Elephas maximus indicus: one gene and its partner. Each later gene encodes a partner of the first gene's protein in a complex. Links are inferred from orthologs where the notes say so. Each region holds a gene or a part of one and is shown on either strand. Other genes may lie near its edges.

Evidence for each region.
Region 2: EMC2 (region 1) and EMC9 share a complex: the UniProt entries of both Homo sapiens proteins name them as parts of the ER membrane protein complex. The link is inferred for Elephas maximus indicus from reciprocal best matches to the Homo sapiens genes EMC2 and EMC9.

The regions. Positions count from the first base shown.
Region 1 is NC_064833.1:33,787,329-33,794,961, reverse strand, and holds the start of EMC2 (ER membrane protein complex subunit 2), read left to right. Parts: upstream 1-4,536; 5' UTR 4,537-4,582; coding exon 4,583-4,622; intron 4,623-7,633. UniProt on the Homo sapiens protein: Part of the endoplasmic reticulum membrane protein complex (EMC) that enables the energy-independent insertion into endoplasmic reticulum membranes of newly synthesized membrane proteins.
Region 2 is NC_064828.1:35,497,930-35,505,848, reverse strand, and holds EMC9 (ER membrane protein complex subunit 9), read left to right. Parts: upstream 1-4,891; 5' UTR 4,892-5,017; intron 5,018-5,161; 5' UTR 5,162-5,173; coding exon 5,174-5,371; intron 5,372-5,512; coding exon 5,513-5,589; intron 5,590-5,687; coding exon 5,688-5,747; intron 5,748-6,562; coding exon 6,563-6,632; intron 6,633-6,716; coding exon 6,717-6,811; intron 6,812-6,965; coding exon 6,966-7,146; 3' UTR 7,147-7,196; downstream 7,197-7,919. Other genes in the region: PSME2 (proteasome activator complex subunit 2), read left to right, coding at 49-96, 420-452, 1,055-1,117, 1,337-1,423, 1,528-1,558, 1,646-1,743, 2,332-2,400, 2,552-2,619 and 3 more; PSME1 (proteasome activator complex subunit 1), read right to left, coding at 7,342-7,422, 7,606-7,692, 7,770-7,824. UniProt on the Homo sapiens protein: Part of the endoplasmic reticulum membrane protein complex (EMC) that enables the energy-independent insertion into endoplasmic reticulum membranes of newly synthesized membrane proteins.

The DNA of each region.
Region 1 (7,633 bases):
CAATGGCCCTTTTTTAAATCACAGCTGTAGGCCCTCCTCTTGACTATGCCAGCAGGTAGGCCCTTCTCTTGGCTATGCCAGGAGGCAGTTGCTTTTTTGACCACACCAGCTTGACAGGCCCTTTTTTCAGCAGGCCAACCAGCAGCCCTTCTCTCAGCATGCCAGCTGACAACCCTCCTCTTAGCTGTACCAGCCTGTGGGCCCTCTCTAAACCCCTGCCCTGCAGAGGCAAGTGTTACAACTCTTTTGGTTCCACTGACAAGTGCTTGTAGGCATCCCACTCAGCCAGCAAGGCTCCTGCCTGAAGGCACTCAGCTTTCTCTCACTCCACGGGCCAGCAAGCCCACTGTAGCCGCCTTGCTCTGTGGGCTGGCAATCACCACTGTAGCCATCTGTTGTCCCCGTGGTTCTTGCTGTTCATACTGCTGCTGCTGTTCCTCTGCCACTGGGCTCTGCTGTGGTTGCCACTATTTCTTGCCATCTTACACTGTCTTGTGTTATAGCTCTCTCTCTCTCCTGGGACTACAAGGTTCTTAGTGCAGGGACCCCAGATCCAAAAGATGTGCTCTACTCCAGAGTCCTCTTCTTGGTGGTAATGAGGTCCCCCTCAACCTCTGTGGTACTGGCCCTTATACTCAATTTCAAGGCATGTCCTTCCCAGCCAGACCATGAGCTGACCAATCTTCTTGGTACACTGCACTTAATCTGCATAGTAATGGACAAATTTCCTCAAGGTCACTTAATCCTACTGCATTGTCTTACATACCCTATCTGCATAGTATACTGACCAATCGCTTGTAAAACTGTGGTCCAGCCGATCATTTTTGGCAGAATTATAAACCCAAGGCCAGAAAGGCCACGTATAAGAGAAACCCATTGCACTAAAGAGATTCAGGAATGTTACTATTGTGCCCTATCAAGGTGATTCCAACTCATAGCAACCCTACAGGATACAGCAGAACTGCACTATAGGGTTTCCTAAGCTGTAATCTTTATGAGAGCAGATTGCCAGGTCTTTTCTCCCAAGGAACTTCTGGCAGCTTAGAACCACTGACCTTTCAGTTAGCAGCCAAGGGCTTACTCATTGTGCTACCAGGGCTCTCAGGAGTCGCTGGAGGAAATGGAATGTGTGGCTAACTGCCTCCGTGAGTAGGTATGTTTCAAACTGAGAAATGAATGACAAAAAGACGGCTACTTGAAGATCTGGAGAGAAGCATTCCAGGGAAAGGGAACAACCAAGGCAGATAACAACTTGGCATGGCTGAGGAATAGAAAGTAGGTGAGAAGGGCTGGAGTCCAGTGAAGAGAGGAGATTACCAGGAGGTGAAATCAGAAGTAAGTGGGGGTCAGATTCAGTAAAGCCCTGTAAACCATAAGAAGGCATCTGGAGTAAATTTTTATTGTCATCAGGAGTCATTTGAGGGCTTTAGCCATGGACTTCCATGGTCTGATTTTCTTTTTTTTTAAGACCATTAGGGCTACTGTAAGAAGCCCTGGTGACAGAGTAGTTAAGCAGCTCAGCTGCCAAAAAGTTGGCAGTTCTAACCCATCACTTGCTCCGTGGAGAAATATGTGGTAGTCTGCTTCCTTAAAGACTGCAGCCTCGGAAGCCCTATGCGGTAGTTTTACTCTTTCCTATAGGGTTGCTATGAGTTGGGACAGATTCTGCAGAATCCACCAGGCACTCCTTAGAAACTCTATGGAGCAGTTCTACTTTGTTCTATAGGGTTGCTATGAGTCGGAATCGACTTGACGGCAATGGGTTTGGTTTTTGGTCCTGGTATGCCACATACTGTGGTAAGGGGCTAGGCAATACAAGATAAACTGGACATAGTCCCTGCACTCAGTGAATATATGATTTGAAGGAAAGCATTGGATATAAAAAAGAAAACATGCTATTCATACCAAGTAATAGAGTTCATGTGTTGCGCTATGAAATATTATCCTTAATAATCTCTAACGTCAGCTGCCTTTTTTAGTTATCTACTTCATTCATTCATTTAATAAATATTTACTGTGTGCCAAGAGTTTTTCTGGGTTGATCTTCCAAGGTTAAAGTGACAGACAAGGTCCGTATTGTCAAGGAGCTTATACAGTAGTAGAAGACACAGAAAATAAGTAAACAAAGAAAAGGTGTCAAATAATAATAAGTGCCATAATGATGTGATAGGCATTGACTAGGGACTACTTTTTATTGGATGCTCAAAAAAGACCTTTCCTATATGCCAGAATTGACTCCACGGCATGAAAAAGCCGGAAAATGAAAAAAGAAGACAGAAGAATTGGTGCATTCAAATGGTAGTGTTGGTGAAGAATACTGATTATATCATGGACTGCCAGAAGAATGAACAAATGTGTCTTGGAGGAAGCACAGCCAGAATGCTTGTTAGAAGGGAGGACGGTGAGGCTTTGTATCACTTACTTTGGATCATGCTTGGTAGAGGGTCAGCAAAAAAGAGGGAGACCTTCAACAAGATGGACTGACACAGTGGCTGAAACAATGCAGGATCAGGCAACGTTTCATTGTTACACATAAGGTTGCTATGAGTCAGAGCTGACTCAATGGCACCTGACAACAATACATAAGGTCTCCATGAATGAGAGCCCACTTAATGGCAATAACTACAGGGCTAGTACTTACGTGAAAGTGCCATGAAGGTACTTTAGCTGCAGTATCTCTTTTAATCTTGATAACAAGTCCACAAGGTAAGTATTTTCTTTGTTGTAGTTGTTAGGTGTCCACCAGTCAGCCCACAACGCATGATGACTTCATGCACAACGGAAAGATACTCTGCCCAGTCATCTGCGAATCAGACAGCTGTGATCCATACGGTTTTCACTGGTTTATTTTTGGCAGTAGTTCACCAGACCTTTCTTTCTAGTCACTCTTAGTCTAGAAGCTCTACCAAAACCTGTTCAGCATCATAGCAACACAACTGATCACTGACACAGAAATGTAGATTGTGCATGAGGTGCATTGGCCGGGAATTGAACCCGGGTCTCCCATAAGGAAGGCAAAAATTCTGCCACTGAACCACAAATGCCTCTTACTTTCCTTCTATATAGATGTTATTAGCTTCTTTTTATATACGAGCATCTCTGATGCTCAGAGCGTCATATATGCTCACAGCAGTGGATCATGGATTCATGCCTGTCTGACACAGGGTTCTTCTTTCTATCACATACTAAACCCGCTGTGGCTGAGTCAATTCCGACTCATAGTGATCCCATAGGACAGAGAAGAACCGCCCCATAGAGTTTCCAAGGAGCGCCTGGTGGATCTGAACTGCCTTTTGGTTAGGAGCCATAGCACTAAACCGCTATGCCACCAGGGTTTCCTCTATCACACCAGGTTGTTTTATAGATGCGTTAGGAGAATCTGTGAATTTCTGAGTGGACAATTTTTAACTTTTTTTGAGTGAAAGATTTTTTAAAAGGTCTGTTTAGTCTGGGGAGAATGAAGCTTATTCAGATTTTAAGCCAAGGCTATAAAATCACCAGTATTTTCTGTCCTTATATGACTTAACTGTGGCATGTTCCACTTATATTTACTTTTTTTCTGGATATTACTTTCTTTCTCCTTGCTCAAATGTTGACTGATTGCCTCTTATTTCTTCACTGCCCCTTAACTGTGGCTGTTTTACAGGGACTTTTAGCCTTCTTTCCTCACTTTACACATTCCTTTTATACAATATCATATTCTTATACCTTCAAATACTAAACATATGCTTATGACTCTAAAATCTTTTGCTTCTAATTCAGACATTTCTCTCTAGTCTTGGGAGAATAGGACCAAAGGTTCCAGAAAGCAGTTCAGTTTGGTGGGAAACGGTGGAAAAGTGAAGTGCAGGGCTATGAAGGATCATTTGAACATTCATTCATTATTTAATCCACTTACTATTTACTACACACTTACGCTGAGGCTGTTCCTGTGGAACTTCACAACTACAGTGGCAGACATCACAAGCAGAGCAATTACATTCACGTCGAGCGTTAACGAAGGGTGCAGGTGGCCAGGAAGGTACTAGTGCATTAAGTCCTCAGACACAGGTACATAAAGCACAAAGGCAGAATTCCACCTAGTGCCTCAAAGGGATTTAATGAAAATCTTGGAGTTTATCAGTTCACTAGATCATTAAAAAGGAAATAATCGAATGTAACACTATTTTAACGCTGGGAACGATTAAGAGATTCGGGGCAGAATGTTGCAGCAGGCCATGACTGGGGAATGTGAGAAGATTGGATACACCTAAGTAGAGAAAAATGAAAACCCGCCGAGGGATGTTACAAGCCATGTGTTTGTTTAAAAGTCACGGTAAAAAAGCCCCCACCAAACGCTGCCTTTGCTCTCGTCAGCCTCCCGAGCGTTCCCAAACTTCCGGCGCGCTAGGCACCGTCCATCTTGCTCCGCCCCTTCCCCCAAAGCCTCTCCGCACAGCCGCGTGCACGTGCGTGGCGAATCCCGCCCCCTCCGCGCTCTCGGCCAATGAGAAATAGCATCGTAACTCGCTACCGCCCGGCCGTCCGTCACGTGACCGCATCTCCCCGCCCCTTCACCTCGCTGTTTCTAGGTTCTGTGAAGATGGCGAAAGTCTCTGAGCTTTACGATGTCACCTGGGAAGGTAACTGCGAGCTCGGGGTGGGGGCGGGGGAGGGTGCGCAGAAAGATCAAAATCTCTGGGAAGCAGTTCGGAAGTACCGCTGCTCTCGGAGAGTTGAGTTCTCATGTCTGTTTCCGGTACCGTGTTTCTCAGTGGACGCGCCAGACTGAAGTCTGAGAGGGGCCCCTGCCTTGGCCCGGCCACGGACTGGGGTCCGCGGCGTTCCCGCCGCGTGTGTTCATCTGGAGACTGGTCCGCCTATCTCCGCGCCAATCCACTGGCTCAGGGTAGCTTCTGTTGTGAGGCGGAGGGGACGTGGTGCTGGGGCTGTCACACTCTTGCGGTGGCTGCTGGGCGGCGCGGAGGAGGCAGGACAAGTAGCTGCTGTAGCTTCTTTGCAACCAAGAAATACAGGGCCTGTAAGGCCTTGTACTCAGCGCTGTGTCAGGGTTACACGTCTGTGCAGAAAAGGTGTAGAAGGTCCGTGAACAAATCTGATTCTTCTAAATCTTACTTTTTGTTTCGTTCTCTCTTCAAAACCGGGTTTTGACCCCCCCTTTATTTATTTTTTCCATATTTCTTTACCTTTCAAAACACATTTACACAACAGAACTTTTTTCTTACTTCCTACCGGTATTACTTTTCCGCAGGGGAGAAGAACTGGTTAGCTTAGGGGCACCTGCTCAAGTGTGATGGACTTCTGGGTTGATGTAAGGTGGGGCGTGTTCTTTAAAATCCAGAAGCAGCCAAACCTTGGGCCAGCTCTGTAAGAGAGATTTTATCTTCTCAAAAAGTTTTATTGTTGTATGCTTTCGAGTGGATTCCTACTTAGCATATTCCATTAGACTTCAATAACTAATCTGTTCAATAGATGCCTTCTTGGAGTGTTTAATACTTGGGAACTGAAAGTTTGGTGGTAAATAAAGAAAGAGAAGGGAAAATTCTTTTATACTTGAACTGAGTTCAATGCTTTATTGGCTTTATGGCCTCTAACACTCTGTGAACCTCAGTGTTTCCACCTGTATTGGGGAAATGCGTTATGTTAAACAAAGGTGTTAAGTAAGGAGAGTTAGATCTTGCATATACCAGGTTAAGTGACACACAGTCCCACCTTCCTAGTTTGATGGAGAAGTCCAAACTCAAACCCATTGTTGATTTCCTACTCATAATGACTCTGTAGGACAGGGTAGAGCTGCTCCATAGGGTTTCCAAGGCTGTAAATCTTTGTGGAAGCAAACTGCCCCGTCTTTCTCCTGGGGAGCGGCTGGCTGGTGGGTTTGAACGCAGACCTTCAGTTTGCAGCTGAGTGCTTTAACCACTGCACCACCAGAGTTCCTTTGATGGAGCACATAGACCTGTAAATACGTTGTGTCAGGATATGTTTTTTTAAGCTGGGTAGTGGATACGTGGCTGTTATTTTTAATGCTTCAGTTGTTTCATAATTTTTAGAAAGTGCTTTGATGAATGTTCAACATAGGCTTCTTAGAGGATGGTAGCATTGTAGGGGATCTTGAGAGAGGTATAACTACCAGCAGACAACATGGTTAAACCACTTGGACTTTACCCTTTGGGCATTCTAAAGAGGAGTGAAAGAATTAGGTTTGGAATAAGTAATAACTACTTCACAAGTTTGTTGAGTGACAAAACGTAAAACATGTTGAAGTACTTTCTTAAATACTTTAGAAAAGGATACATTTTTATTAGGTAATAACATGATTATGTCCTTCTCCTGTGTAGTTTGGGTCCTGCACACATCTCCGGTTTTATCTCGAGCTATTTTCCCTCTAAAGAAGCTCTGATGGTGCAATGGTTAAGCACTTGGCTGCTAACCAAAAGGTTTGAATCCACCCAGCGGCTCTGTGGGAGAAAAGACCTGGTGATCTGCTCCTGTAAACACTACAGACTTGGAAACCCTATGGAGCAGTTCAACGCTGTCATACACAAGGTCACTATGAGCCAGAGGACTCCTGGTGGTGTAGTGGTTAAGAGTTTGGGTGCTAACCAAAAGACCGGTGTCTGAATCCACCAGCTGCTCCTTGGAAATTGGATGGGGCAGTTCTACTCTGTTCTATAGGTATTGACTCAATTAGCAATGGGTTTGTTTTTTTTTCAAATGAGTCAGAGGAGCCGTGGTGGCACAAAGGTTAAGAGCTATGGCCGCTAACAAATAGGTCAGCAGTTTGAATCCACCAGGTGCTCCCTGGAAACTTTACGTGGCAGTTCTACTCTGTTCTGTAAGGTCACTATGAGTTGGAATCAACTTGACAGCAATGGTTTTTTTTTTTTTTTTTCTTTAAGAGTCTGAATCAACTTGGTGGCACATAAAAACATTCTCCCTCTCAACTTTCTCTGAGCTGGTTACATTGGCTTTCCTTGAATTTCCTAAATGTGCTGTGCTCTTTCTTGGCTTCAGGATGAGCACGTGTTATTCCAGGAGTGTTCTTTCTTTCTTGTCCTCCTCTTGCCTCATTACCCTTTTCATTTCATGTAGTTTCCCTCAAAGGTTACATACTTAAGACATCGACTCTGCTTTCCCAGTTCTCTGGCAAAAGAAAAAAGAGAAAAACAAAACCTAAACAGCAATAAGAAAAGAAAACAAACAAACAAAAAGCCTAGGCCTGATCCTATAAGTACATGTTCTCATACTTTGGAAGCATTTGCCCAGTTGTGTAAGTTTTAAAAATGTTTGTCTCTCCATCTAGAAGAAGAGGCCTATATTGTTCATTGTCACATCACTCCCCCCCACCAAAAAAAAACCAAACTCATTGCCCTTGAGTTGATCCTGACTCGTGGCAACCCCATGTGTTTGTGTTATAGAGTAGAACTCCTCCGTAGGGTTTTCCTGGCTGTAATCTTTTTGGAAACAGATTGCCAGGCCTTTCTCCAGTGGTGCCACTGGGTGAGTTTGAACCACCAACCTTTAGGTTAGCAGCTGAGAGCATACTGTTTGTGCCACCCAGGGAGCCTTGTCATATCACTCCCACCCACCAAAACCCACTGCCATCAAGATATCACTAGTGCCTGGCATATAG
Region 2 (7,919 bases), on another chromosome or scaffold:
AGCCCAGGCGGCGAGCCGGGAGACCGAAGACCTTGCAACTGGAGGAGCATGGCCAAGCCTTGTGGGGTACGCCTGAGCGGGGAGGCCCGCAAACAGGTAATGGGGGGACCGGGAAGGCCAGGAAGGGGCCGCGAAGCCCGCTTGGGTGAAGGCAAAGCTGGATGCTCCGGAGGACCAAGGCCACGCCAGAGAACTTCCTCAGTCCCTCACTTTAGTGCTTTCACTTCTGTCTGGGGATTCCCAGATTCCTGGCCTTTGGCCAGCTTGCACTGAGCCAGGGGCTCCCAGGAAGAACTGGCCGCTGGTGGGAAAGGCCTGAGTCACAGGGGAGGGCACCCCTTTTGGCGGGAGAGGGTGGTGGGCTCTTTCTTATTCTTGGCAACTGAGACTTAACCAGCATCCTGAACTGCTCTCTGCAGGTGGATGTCTTCAGGCAAAATCTCTTCCAGGAGGTAAGTCTCTGGACTCAAGCGATTTGACTCAGAAGCTTAAACCAGTACTTGAGGGTCACAACCTCAGAGTGACTCGCAAACCCACCCTACACCTGGGCACTACTTCCCTTATGAAGCCTTCACCCAGAGTGAGCTCCTAATTATTGATTTCTGCCTTTAATTTCATCCCTCTTAAGATTCTACTCTCTTTCTGCCACTTTCCCTCCCCTCTTTTGGTGTAGATGGAAAAGCCATGGCCCCAAAGCCAGAATACCCTAGTCCTAACCTCAGTGGTGAAGTGGTTGAGGGCTACCACTGCAAACCAAAAGGTCTACAGTTCAAATCCACCAGCCACTCCTTGGAAACCCTATGGGGCCATTCTACTCTGTCCTATAGGGTCTCTATGAGTCAGAGTTAACTTCATGGCAATGAGTTTGGTTTTGGTTTGGTTAACCTTGGTTCAGCCACTTAACCAGCTTGGCAAGTCCATTACCTTTTCAGGGCTTCATTTCCTCAGTTGTAAGTCTTGAACTCAATGATTTCCAAGGGTCCTTTCAGCCCTCCTTCTCAATCTCATTGAACGCCTTCTGTGATTGCCCCCACCCTTGCCATGTAACCCACAGGCTGAGGAATTCCTCTGCACATTCTTGCCGCAGAAGATCGTATACCTGAATCAGCTCTTGAAAGTGAGTAGTGTGGGCCCTTCCTGCCTCATCCCGTGGCCTCTCTTCCATCCGCTCACCCTCTCTAGCCAATGACTGGGCTCAGCACCCAGAGAACAGTTGTGAATGGTGGGTAGGAGCATTAGGATGGTGTGAGGCCTAAGCCTAGGTTGGGAGGCAGAGGGTGGGTGGGATGAGTGGAGGGAAGACTCTGGGCAGCCTCTGACAGTGAGCTCTATGCAGGAAGACTCCTTCAGTGTGACTGACCTGACTTCCCTCCGGGCCCCACTGGACATCCCTATCCCAGACCCCCCACCCAAGGATGATGAGGTGAGGTACTCAGGGTGCAGGGATTGGACCATAAACCCAATAAAGACGATGGCACGCCAGCCTCCATGAGGTTTCTAAAGTGATTTTCCTCCATTTTGCCTTAGATGGAAACAGATAAGCAGGAGAAAAAAGAAGGTAAGAGAAGAAGGGGTAGATAGGGAAGTGGAAAATGGCATATTGACTGCTAAATGAGAAGGGGCCTCCATCTCCTGTTTCTCACAGCCCCTAAGTGCGGCTTTCTCCCTGGAAACGAGAAGCTGCTGGCCCTGCTTGCCCTAGTTAAGCCAGAAGTCTGGACTCTCAAAGAGAAATGCATTCTGGTAAGTCTGGGAGCTCGGAGAAGAGGAAAGAGAAGATAAGCAAGGCCAGACCCTGGCCTCCTTCAGAGAGGCAAGCCCTTTATTCAGGGACCTAGTCCCAAAACAGGAAATGTCTTTCTGTGCCTTAGTTTTAGATGCCCTTTGTTCTCTTCCTCATTCTGCTAGACCTGTGGTATCATAATGGTGCCCTGAAGTCAGAGACTATGCTGTACCCACTTCTCATCTCAGAACATACTGGTGTACCAGGTACACAGTGGAAGTGGTATGATATATGAGTGGTTTAAGCACTCAGGCCATAGAGAAAGACTATCTGGATTCACATCCTGACTTATCACTTACCTAGGTGGTCACCTTGAATAAGTCACTTAGACTGTGACTCAGATTTCTCATCCTTTAAGTGGGAATAGCAAATGTGTATGCCTTGAAGGTTTCTGTGAAGACTAAATTAGATAAATAATACATATCATAGTGCCTGCACATAGTAAGTACTCAATTAAATATAACCTATCAAAAAAAAATTTTTTTTTTATTTTTAAGAAGTGGCACGAGGTATGTTGAATGCTTCCTACATGATACCTCTTAATCTAGGTGATCACATGGATCCAGCATCTGATTCCCAAGATTGAGGACGGAAATGATTTTGGGGTGGCAATCCAGGTAAGATATGGGTGAGTGAGGGCACTGAGAGTGGGGAGAGACTTGGAGAGGGATAGGATCTAGCCATGAGTTAGGAGGAAGAAGGAGATGGTTGGTGAAGGAGAAAGGAAATGAGGTGTTTTCTTTCCACCCTCATCTTTTATCACCACAGGAGAAAGTGCTGGAGAGGGTGAATGCAGTCAAGACCAAGGTGGAAGCCTTCCAGACAACCATTTCCAAGTGAGGGCAGCTGGGGGCTGCAGGAACATTTCTTTGAGAGTCTTAAGACTGTCCTGTCCCAGCAGGACAATGGGGGACTTTGGGAAGGGTCTGAGGGAGTGTATTTCCTTGAACACCCATTCCTGGGGTTACTTCCCTTGCTTCTGGCAGGTACTTCTCAGAACGTGGGGATGCAGTGGCCAAGGCCTCCAAGGAGACCCATGTAGTAAGTGGATAGTCCACCAGCCTTTTAGCTGAGGCTGGCTGGAGGTGCGAAGGAAAGGGGGGAGTGGATTTCCTTGTCTTATTTATGATCTTACCAGTGCAGAGGACATCTAATCAAAAGCATTCTCTAGAAAAGCTGATTTGGGCTTCAAAAGCCTTGATCCTTTTCTCTGCTTGATCATGTGGGATCCTGTTTCTTGGTGCGGAGAAGGAATTCATTCTCAAGTTACCTATTCCCTATATGAGGAAACCAGACTAATGTCCCAGCCTCCTAGGATGCTGACTCAACTTTGCCTCCCACATCCCAGATGGATTACCGGGCCCTGGTGCATGAGCGAGATGAGGCAGCCTATAGGGATCTCAGAGCCATGGTGCTGGACTTAAGGACCTTCTATGTGAGTATGGAGTGAGCCCCTAAGAGGAGGCATGTGATGTGGGCCGGGGGGAGGGGGGGAGCGGGGGAAGGGAGGAGAAGAACCTGACTGCTGCCCTTCTGGCTTTCTTCCTAGGCTGAGCTTTATCATATAATCAGCAGCAACCTGGAGAAAATTGTCAATCCAAAGGGTGAAGAGAAGCCATCTATGTACTGAGCCCTGGGCTAGAAAGGAATAAATGACCTGGATTACTTCTGTTGTGTGTCCTTGTCATTCATTCAAAAAGCATTTATTGAGTGCCACCTGTGTCTAAATACTGCGCGTATATGTGATAGAGGGAAGAGGGTGCCAGGAAGACAAACATGAATCAGACGCCCGTCCTAAAGGAGTCCTAAAGAACAGGGCGAACCTATTACATGCCATGACAGCCATGCAGATAACCTGCTTTATGGAATTTCACAAGTTATTTCCATCCAGGAGTCTCATGAATGCTTCACGGAAAAGATGGCATTTGGGCAAAACCCTTACAGGAATAATCAGGGTTTGGACAGACAAGGGGAAAGTTCTGTGGCTGTGGTTGGAGAATGAAGGAAGGAATTGGTCTCATCAAAGAAAACTGAGCAAAACTGGAAGGAGGATCGAGGTTTCACTGGGAGAATTAAGGGTGAATAGTTGAACCCCTTCTCAAGCACTGGAAAGGGGAAAAAAGTTCCCAAGGCATTGTAGTGAAGGAAATTACAACACGGTGCGTTATGGGAAGGATGGATCTATAGGATTTTTCTTTTGGTCCTTTTTTTCCCCTTTATTAACCAATTGCCGTATTTATCTCTGCCTTTCAGGATTCCGAAACCCTGGTGGCATAGTGGTTAAGTGCTACAGCTGCTGACCAAAGGGTTGGCAGTTTGAATCCGCCAGGCGCTCCCTGGTAACTCTATGGGGCAGTTCTACTTTGTCCTGTAGGGTCGCAATCAACCCTACGGCACCGGGTTTGGTTTTGGTTTAGGTTCAGGATTCAGCCCTGTTCAGATGGTAGAGGCAAGAGTTCCTCTACTGTGGTCTTTGCTATAAACTCCATGGGATTGTTCAGTAATTCAGGGTCTTATCTTGTTTTTAAATATGGAATAATAATGTTGCCTCGTACTTGACAGTTTGGAAACCGGTCCCCATACGCTATCTCATTTAATTCTTAAAGCACCATGGGCAACTGGTATTACATTAAGGAAACCAAGGGCCAGATAATCTGTAGTCTCGAGGGTAACACGGCTCGTAAGTAAGTGACAGGGTCAGTCTGGAGTCCAGATCCGCTCATTCCATAACAGGAGCAAGGAGGTCCGCTACGTCTGCATGTTTGAAAAACCACTGCGTCGGAACATCTTGCGCGGGCCTCGGGCTTTACCGGGTTGGCTCCGCCGGGCTTGTGGGGGCGGGCAGCACAGGTAACAGACAAAACCATTCGGCAATCATGAGCGGAAGTCGGCTAGCCTAGCCAATAAGTGCGCCGACCAATGGTTTATTGTTGTAAACTTCAGTTTGGATGGAGGCAAAAGCCGCTGATTGGATAAAATGAGAACCTCTAAGCCTATCAAAGAGCACCACATGGGCGGGACTCTTGCCGCGGGTCCGGCTTGGAGCAGCAGGCGCTGAACACTGGCAAAAGGCGCTGATCCGCATCCGCCCGCCGGGGGCGGGGGAAGGCGGGGCTCAGTACCGCGGGATGCAATCGGGACCTCCTTCTGGGCAGGGCCGGGGGCGGGCACCCGGGTCGAGGTCTCCGGGAGCCTTCGGGCTGCCTTCGAGCCGAGGCGGCTTCACGGGCGAACGTAAGCGAAGGGGTACCAAGGTGTTGGTGTCGGTAGTCAAGGAGGGCGCCGGGGTGCTGGAGGGAGCTGGGCGGACACGAGCTAGGGGCTTCGCAGGGTGGCGTGGGAACCGGCACTAACTGGGCTTACTTCGTACCCGGGCAGGCCCCTCTCGCCATGGGGGAGGTGGAGATCTCAGCCCGGGCCTACGTGAAGATGTGCCTGCACGCCGCCCGGTACCCGCACGCTGCTGTCAACGGGCTGTTGCTGGCGCCGGCGCCGCGGACCGGGGAATGTCTGTGCCTCACAGACTGTGTGCCCCTATTCCACAGCCACCTGGCCCTGTCCGTCATGCTGGAGGTCGCCCTCAACCAGGTGCCGCCGCTGGACGCCAACCGACTACCGCGAATGCCCCCAAAACCCCTAGCCCAAGCCCATTCCTGGCCCCTTGCGGTAGTGCGGACCCACAGGGCCGGCATCACGCTTTAGTTACTGATGGCCCCTTTCCCACGGCAGGTGGATGTGTGGGGTGCACAGGGCGGTCTGGTGGTGGCTGGGTACTACCATGCCAATGCAGCTCTGGACGACCAGAGGTGAGTTGGGTAGCCAAAAGCAGAAGGCAAAGGGTTATGGGGTGGGAGTCAAGAGAGCCAAGGTCATTCCTTCTATTTTTCCTTCCTTAAACACTTAGGAGCAGAGTCTGTACATCTGGCACTATGCTGGGTACTGGAGTGAGGAAATACAATGATGAGTAAGACAGCAGTGTTCTGGAGGAGCTGGGGGTGGGGTGGGGTGGGGAGGACAACTGTGTATCAATAAGAACAGGTTAACACTTCCTTTATGAGAGTGCCTCCCAATTACTGAACGAACAGAGGGGAAATGCAACCAGCAACTTAATAAAAAGGAAATCATATACATATAGATAAGATAGGTAGAGATAATTACATTTATCAATCATATAAATGGATCAAATGATTGTAGTGTTTTGTAATTTGTTCCCCTGCATAATAAATAAATGACATCTTTCCATCTCTACACCAAGATCTACCTTACCCTAACAGCTATAGTGTATGCATATGAATGTCTATAATTTATTTAGTGCTTTACATTAAGCATTGAGGTGGCTTCCAATTTTTTGCTATTACAAAAAGCAAAAAAAAAAAAAAACCTATTGCCATCGAGTGGATTACAACTCATAGCAACCCTGTAAGACAGTAGAACTGCACTCTAGGGTTTCTAAGGAGCGGCTGGTGGATTCCAACTGCAGACCTTTTGGTTAGCAGCCATACACTGTCTTATTATTATAGTAGATTCTTTGTAAGTGAAATTTCTGGGTCAGTACATGTATATTAAGCAGTTTTGATATTCATTCTCACCAACAGTGTCTGTTTCCCATCATAGCATTCAAACATCATGCAGTTGTACATCAAACTGAGCTAACCCCACCCCCAGCCCCTACCCAGCTACAAGGAAAGGTCACAACTGCACCCATATCTGGGAGACCCAGCTCAGATGATGGGGCCTGTCCAGCCAGTTCCTCATTCCTCTGATCTTTCCTCTACACAGCCCTGGGCCCCTGGCCTTGAAAATTGCTGGGCGAATTGCAGAATTCTTCCCTGATGCAGTACTCATCATGGTGAGCCTTGGGATTCAGGGTTGGGGGAGTCGGAGAGAACATCGTGGGTGGGATCTTTGAAACTCGCTTGTCTTTGTCCACCAGCTAGATAATCAGAAACTGGTGCCTCAACCTCGTGTGCCCCCAGTCATTGTCCTGGAGAACCATGGTCTCCGCTGGGCCCCCAAAGACAAGAACTTGTGAGTGCCCTACTCCCTCCACTTCTTGGAAGTCCAAAGTTCCTGGGTTCCCTCTGTCCTGCCCCAAAAGTCCTTCCCTAGACCTAACTTCTGCCAAGTTCTGCATCTGGCCCCATCGCCTACTGTTTGACTTCCATGGTGGTTACTATTTCAGAGTGATGTGGAGGGACTGGGAAGAGTCGCGGCAGATGGTAGGAGCACTTCTGGAGGGCCGGGCCCACCAGCACCTTGTGGACTTTGACTCACACCTTGATGACATCCGGCAGGACTGGACCAACCAGCAGCTGAATACCCAAATCACCCAGTGGATTGATCCCACTAATGAAAATGCTTGAGCCAGGGTCAGTGGGGCCAGGATCCAATAAAGAGACTTGGGCTGATGGGTAACAGTATGATTATATTTATTGTGCCTAGATGGCAAGGTGAGAGAGAAACCTCAACAGGAGAAAAATGGGGGGAAAGTCTGGAGTCCCCGATAAAAGGCAGGAGGGTCTCTGTTGCACTCATCACAAAAATGAGAGCAGAGGCCCTCAATAAATCATCCCCTTTGTTTCTCCCCTGGGCTTCTTGAGTTTTTCGAAGTTCTTCAGGATGATGTCATATAGCACTGCCTACAGGGCCAGGGAGGAGTGGGGGGTCAGCTGTAGGTGCCAGTCGCTCTGTGCCCCATTTCCAGCCTTGTGAAGAGGCCACGCTTTGTCACCCTTTACCCCCAGCCTGCAGGGTCTGGGAGCGGGTGGCCTGGGAAAGCTGCCTCTGCCCACCCCTGCCCTGCGCTGCCCTCGCCTCCTCACGTAAGCATTGCGGATCTCCATGATCCTCAGACGGATGTCCCGGTACTCCGCCTCATCCAGCTCATGCACCAGCTGCCGATAATCACCCTGAGGGAGACTTGGGGTCAGCCTGACTTCATCCAAGTGTGTCCATCCCCCCGTATATCCCGACCTGTGCTACCTACCACATGGGGTTGCTTGGCTGCTTTGGTTACTGCATCACCCCGCTCAGAGAAATACCTGTGGGAAGTGGAAGAAGTGTGTAGAGTGGGAGAAGGTGGCATGAGCCCTGGCCTCTGTCCCCAATCCAAAGCAGAGTATGCGTGTGGGTGTGG